2 linked regions of the Cricetulus griseus genome follow. The protein of the gene in region 1 interacts with the protein of each later gene in a pairwise test. Links are inferred from orthologs where the notes say so. Each region holds a gene or a part of one and is shown on either strand. Other genes may lie near its edges. The genes, in order: Card9 and Cwf19l2.

The links.
Region 2: the proteins of Card9 (region 1) and Cwf19l2 interact in binary tests that used the Homo sapiens proteins (3 or more experiments, as listed by UniProt). The two-hybrid records come from large-scale screens. The link is inferred for Cricetulus griseus from reciprocal best matches to the Homo sapiens genes CARD9 and CWF19L2.

What each region holds. Positions count from the first base shown.
Region 1 is NC_048599.1:137,744,099-137,747,918, forward strand, and holds part of Card9 (caspase recruitment domain-containing protein 9), read right to left. Parts: coding exon 3,681-3,820; intron 3,236-3,680; coding exon 3,098-3,235; intron 2,902-3,097; exon of another isoform or gene 2,326-2,901; coding exon 2,021-2,325; intron 1,943-2,020; coding exon 1,763-1,942; coding exon of another isoform or gene 1,679-1,762; coding exon 1,535-1,678; intron 1,209-1,534; coding exon 1,083-1,208; intron 1-1,082. UniProt on the Homo sapiens protein: Adapter protein that plays a key role in innate immune response against fungi by forming signaling complexes downstream of C-type lectin receptors.
Region 2 is NC_048597.1:118,136,560-118,139,811, reverse strand, and holds part of Cwf19l2 (CWF19-like protein 2), read right to left. Parts: intron 1,613-3,252; coding exon 1,511-1,612; intron 1-1,510.

The sequences.
Region 1 (3,820 bases):
CAGCTGAAATGACCATGGCCAACACTCAAGATAGTTCCTAGGGAAGTCCAACCAAGAAGTCAAACATCCCTAGTCAGTATGTGTCTCTGTCCCACCCATGTGGCATGTTTTCAAGTTCTGGATGCATCTTGACATCAAGAATATGATCACTGGGCGGTGGTGGCACACGCCTTTAATCCCACCACTGGGGAGGCAGAGGCAGGCGGATCTCTGTGAGTTGGAGGCCAGCCTGGTCTACAAAGTGAGTTCCAGGACAGCCAAGATGACACAGAGAAACACTGTCTCAAAAAAACAAAAAACAAACAAAGAACATGATTGATGGCTGTTCTTAAAATGAATACCATGCTTCTTCTTTTGTTTCCTGGGAGACAGTTTCATTCATTTCCCAAACTGGCCTAAAATTTACTATGTATCTGAGGATGGCCTTGAATTTTTGATCCTCCTGACTCTACCTCCAAAGCCTGGAATTACAGGCATGTGCCACCAAAGTTGGCTCAGTTGCTACTACTTTTTGTTGTTTTTGGTTTTTTGAGACCGGGTCTACCATTGTAGCCCAAACTGGCTTGGAACTCACTGTGTAATCCAGGCTGGCCTTGAATTCACAGTAGTTATTTTGTTTCAACCTCCAAATGCTGGGAGTACAGGTATGAGCTACCACTACTACTACTGCTGCCTATTCCAGGGGGTTACCACCAGCTCTTCTACCCAATACTGTGGCCTCCACCTCCCACCTGTGTAGCTAGCAACTTCCTCTCCTCTATTGAAGTTTCCAACCCTGACCTTCCCCTAACCAGCACAGGCGCCACTGGGACTCCCCTGCTACACTGGCCCTTCCTGTGAGAGAGGCAGATGTTCCTGTCTTTGTACAAGAGGCTCCAGGTTCTATCTTTCAACATTGCCAAGTTACCTCAGGCATAAATAGATAGGTAGGTAGGTAGATAGATAGATAGATAGATAGATAGATAGATAGATAGATAGATAGATAGATAAAGTAATGAGTTGACCACAGCTTCAAAAGCCTCTACACCGGCACCCAAACACTCCTCTCATTCTCATCTTCTGAACACAAATGCAACACCTACCTGGTCCCGCTCAATGGAGACTTCCTCCATCTGCTGCAGGATAGCCTCGATCCGGTCCTTGTACATCTTGGCATCCTTACGCAAGGCCAGGCACTGCAGCTCGAACATCTCCCTTTCCTCCACGCACTACAGGAAGCACCACTCAGCCTCACCCACTCTCCACTGCTCACCTGGCCCTGGGCTGGACTCAGGCAACACCTTCAGAGCACTCAAGATCGGGCTAGCCGGGATGATGGGAAGGGCACTGCAGTCCCAGGCCACAGCAGGCTTGCCTGGTCTGAGACCATGGCCTCAGCCACCACCGATCACACGGTAAACTGAAAGGATGACCCTAGCTGTGGACATGACACCACTGTGCACCAGGAATTGGTGAAGGGGAGACAGTGAGTTACATTCCAGACCCTGCCTTCCAGATACCCAGTGGGTACTGCTTGCCTGCCCTGCCCTCTCACCCGGGTCCGGAGGGCCTCAGCTTGGCGGAGGTCCTTGCGTAGGGAGAAGATGGTGTTGGCCTGCTCTTGGTGCTCCTGCAGTGCCTGGCGCCAGTCCTCCTGCAGCACTTGAATGTAGGGGCTGTTCCTGTCTAGCTTGCCCTCCTGGAGGTGGCAAAGGGCAACAAGCCTGGCCATTGCAGTTGTACCATCTGGTGTGCCCCTGGTGTGCACTGCTGGTAGCCCTACCTGTACAGAGACCTCCAGCTCCTGCACCCGGGCCTGCAGCAAGTCCTTTTCCTGCTGCAGCTCCCACATCAGCTCCTGGCTGGGCCGCTGCTCCATAGCATGCCTGAGCTTCAGGGTGTGTTTTCGCTCCACCTTGCAATCATCCTCTGCCTTCATGAGGCTGTGCCTGAGCCGGTCCACCTGTGGGTGGTCCAGTCAGCAGCAGCCTCCTCCAGACACCCCCACCCCCACCCCCCTGCTGGTGGGACAAGCGATCACCTCGAGCTGCAGGTCCCGGTTCCGCATGAGCGCTGAGCCCTTCTCTTCACTCAGATGTGCTAGGCGCATGGCCAGGTCATAGTTCTCATCCTTGCAGCGCTTCAGCTCTCGGCTGCTCAGCTCACACTCTTCCTTGAGCCGCTGCACACGCTCCTGGTGCTTGCGCAGGAGGCTGTCCTTTACCCGAAGCTCCTTGATGAAGTCGTCCTTGGAGCTCAGAAGTGCCGTCAGGTCCTGAACCTTCTTCTGCAGCTTCATGACCTCTGTCATCAGCAGCTGCGTCAGGCCTGACTCCCCTGATGCATCTGGGGACCATGCAGTGTCAGATGGAGCCTGTGGCTGTCACCTGCAGACCCTGTGCTTGTCCTTGTCCAGAAGTATGTGCTTGAAGACCAGCAGTTTGAGGGGCAGAGGGAGCACTACTGGTCTTCCACAGAGAGAAAGCTGGTGGGAAGGCTCCCTGGGGACTGTTCACCAGGCCCAGTCTGCCTTGCTGCCCCTCACATATGAACTGACTGAGATTCTAACTTATCACATGCCAGGACTCCAGCTGGCCCTCTCTCTCTCTCTCTCTCTCTCTCTCTCTTTTTCTCTCTCTTTTCCCTGAGAAAAGGTCTCACTATGTAGTCCAGGGTGGCCTCTAACTCAGAGATCTGCCTGCTTCTCCCTGGGATTAAAGGTGTGTGCCAGCATGCCTGGCCCTCTGTCTACCTTTATAAAGATCTTTATGAGATGAATGATAGGGATGTGGACTGATAGGGATGTGGCTATTCCATCAGTTCACCTCTGTCCCCTCTAGAAACTGTGGGATTCTGTCCTTAGGTGGTAACTGGGCCCCATGGAATTAATACTTTATAGAGGGGTCACCTCTTCTTAGTGGATGTTCTTAGGATGGGAGTAGGAAAGGCAGAGAAGGGAGCCCTGACCCTGAGCACCTGAGAGTAGTCACTGGTACCACTACTCTGATATGTACCACAGGGCTTGTATTAGACTCATTCATTCTGATGTAATCACAGAAGCCAGGACCTGGTGGCACCTGACTGCACTCACAGCACCCACCCACTCTGTGCCTCTCACCAATGATCATGGAGAAGACTCGTGCTGGCTCCTTGCCCGTGACTTTCCTGTATAATTGAGGGTAATAGAGTTCCAGACTCTCAAGGAAGGCTACATAGCCCTTGTGGCCTGTCCGCTGCAGGATGTCCAGTAGCACACCTACAGATGGAAGAGACAGAGTTGAGGCCAAGGTCTGGGTATGTAGAAGCTCTGGGGCCCAGGTGGGACAGTGGATGACTGCTCTGAGTAGAGGTGCCAAGCTGTGGACCCCCAGCCCTCGTTTCTGGGCCCTTCCTAGCAGAGGGATCTGGGGCATTGCATAAGGCACCCTGCAGGTCTCAGTCAAGGCAGAGTAAGGTGCTGCCTTCACTCTTGTGGCTCTCTCACAGCCTGAACAATGGTAGGAACTCCCCTTCCCTCCTCTGGGTAGCAGCAGGTAGGCATGATGAGAGGAGAGAAGGCTCTCATGCATACATCCTAGGTGTAGATGGAGCTGGGTGGGGACAAGGCCAGGGCGGCACAGCATGTAGCAGCCTCTGGCCAGGTGTCTGTGGGGACCATGAGGGACTAGGGACAGCCCTGCTGGTGTGGGAGCAGCCCTCACCCACTTTCCGCTTGCGAATGACCAGGTTGGGGTCACTGAGCACCTGCTCCTCATCATCGGGGTTCAGGACTTTGCACTGGCGCAGATAGGGTGTGATTCGTGAGGGGTCAATAACAGAGATGAGCTTCACCCGGAAGCTC
Region 2 (3,252 bases), on another chromosome or scaffold:
AAATGCATGAGTAATATTTGAAGGGGAGGCAATTCTTCCAATAAAAATTTAAAATGTGAAACAATGGGTCATAGTGATGTCCTTTCCTCTGGAAACACATTTTAAGACTATGAATCCAGAGCTATAAATTGAAAGCTAAAGAGCAGTTAAAAATCTCTAGGGAACAACAGGATTGTTCAAAGCAGTGAAAACAAAGTTTTTGAGTTTTTGTTTTTTATTTGTTGTTGTTAATTCTGTAGAAAAATCAGCAAACTTCTCAAACAGGGGATAGGATACACCTAAGTTGGTAGAGCAGTAGAATGCAGGCCAGACATGCATGAAGCTATGGGTTTGATCCACAAGGCTGTGGAAAAACAGGCATGATGGTACAGTCCTGGAAACTCACATCAGGAGGTGGAGGCCGGATGAACAGCAGTGCAAGGATATAGTTAGCTATGTGGTGAGTTCAAGACCAGTCTGGGCTATGTGAGAATATTTAAGTAATAATTCAAAAATGCATGTGATTTTGGAATGTGCATATTCATTTAAGGCCAGCAGCATAGTGAGTTCTGGATTGAAACTAATGGAGCTGTTTTCTCTTGAAACATCCCAATTTCATTGTAGAAGATTATCTCATGCAGATGAGAGCAGGGCAGAGGGGGAAGCAGGGTGGGAAATTATGAACTCTCAGCAGAGTTTATCAAGGCTGGTCTCTGTAGAGGCATAATCACAGAAAGGTGATACAAGAAGGCTTGAGCTAGGCCCAGATTCATTTTTGCCAATTTCACACACTACATTAATTTCATTCCAGTTCCTGAAGAGAATTTAGATACTTAGTATGTAGACCTCTAAATTTAAGGAATATGCTCTTATGAAGGCATTTTTTTTTCCCCCTGAAAGAAACTACTGGTAATCAAATGATGGGGATTTTCATACGTGCCCAGAACCTAACTGTGAAATGAGTTATTTATTTTTCCTGGATTATACCTTAACTACAAATGAAGAGCTAACACCATTTATTTTCTGTATTAACCATCACCTGTGGTACCTGGGTCCTCTCACTTAGCACATAACCCTAGGGAAATCACAGAACCCCTTTGCAATTTAGAGTTTTCCTATCTTCACAACAAATGTTAGAACAAAATCTAGACAGTAGAGTAACTGTGAGCACTAGATGGCTGCTTAGACAGTAGATGGGCACACTGTAAGCCCTCAATAAACATTAGCAAATAACATAACTTTCAGGACAAAGCTGACTCCAAAGTTAGGAAAACATTATAGTTACAAAGACTGAGCGAGCACAATGTCCAAAAATGTCTGTTACACAATGAAATTTCTGATTGGCTAATGAATATTCTGGTACTTTTTTCTTTTATTGTTAATATCACACACACCCCCACACCCTTCTCTGTCAAACTTGTATAGAAAACAACTCATCAAATTCTGTGATTCAAACTTTTTCTTTCACAACCTTGTGAAAATATTAACCAAACCACTAATCTTCAGGGTTTTATCAAATTTCTGAGTATACCTTTCCAAAGTAACGAGGAAATTTGTGTTGATCTTCAATGACATGGGCAAATCCTCCCTGAAGGCCAAAGTCTACAGCAAAGTAAGGCAAGCCTCTGGGCACCTGAGTAAACAAAAAATTACATATGAAGTAGGAAAGCTATGCCTTCTCCAATTTTCTGCCATGAGAGAACTAATCATCATCCATCAGGAGGATGTGTATGACAAATTTCCAATGACCTAACTTTCCAAGGAAAAGATTTCACTCTGATAGCCTTTCAGCCAGACAGAGCTTCATCAAGTCTAGCAATTCACAATCAAAACAAACACTTTTCTGTTCTTGAAGACAGTAGAAAAAAGGTATTCAAATATTTTTGTAGTGCCAAGAAACAATTTTTCTACAATTACACAAATAAAAGTATGTTTTGTTCATATTTTACTTAGGAAGAGAACTTGATCATATATTTGTGGCTGTGTTTATACACTTATAAAATCTTCAATATGATAATATTTATTAAATATAAATAAATTTATAATTTTTATTTTTATCATTACTAGTGAGATAAAATAGCAATATTTACTTTACCAAGTTAATTTCACAATACATTGGGATCAGCTCTCTATTATCCTTCTATTCCTCATTTTACACACACACAGACACACACACAGACACACACAGACACACACAGACACACACAGACACACACAGACACACAGACACACACAGACACACACACACACACACACACACACACACACACACACACACACACACACACACACACACGGGAGCGAGGGAGAGAGGGACAGAGAGACAAAGGAAGAGTTTTAATCTCCATACTGATTGAAAAGAGCTATAATTTCTTGTTTTCTTATCTGGCAGATTTTGCATCTTTGTAAGTTTTTCCTCTAAGTCCCAACTTTTAACACTAGAAATTATCGAGGTTGGTCAATACACAGTAAGTTTCTCCTCTAATACCATCTCAAAATCAACATGACTCATCTGGGCACTGATCCACATATTGCTATTTAAGTACACACAACTGGTATTAAATACTTAGGAAGGCACAACTCAGAGTATGAGGTACTATATGGTACAAACAGAAAAGTCCTCTTTAATCATTATAAATCAAATAAAATTATTGACAACAAAATGCTGCTCATTTAACAGGAAAAGGAGGAAGTTAAAAAATCAGTCTACAAAGTAGTATAAGCATAAAAAGGCTGCTTCATATATTTATATTTTTCTGTAGTTTTGTATTTTTAGATAATAGTCATGTATTGACAATTGAGAAAAAATAAAGTAAAAACAGATAGACAAGGTTTTATGTAGGCATCTGGTCTGTGGACCTGAAACAGTAGCCACACCCCTTTGGGTGTGGCTTCAGGCAGAAGGAATTGGAAAAAGAGGAGCTTGAGATGTGGCTTTTCTTTGTGCACTTCTTTCTGGTGGGTCAGCAGATCCCATAGGAAGAGCAGGGAAAGGCTCTAGTGGTTCTTTGTATTTTTCTGTGTAATTGTCCCCAACAAACACCCATTTATCATTTATCTTGGGCCTAGTAATATAATTACATCCTCGCTTTCAGCTTTAAGCACATTTCTGATTCCTATGAATTAGAAATTGACAAACATTTGAGTCTTGGGAGAAACAAGAAGCATTCTGAGGTTTGCTGGGAACATCCTAGAGAATGACATAAATGTAAGTCCCCAGGTCTAATCTTAATATATGAGACTGTTACTTTCATTTCTATCTGCTCTACAAGA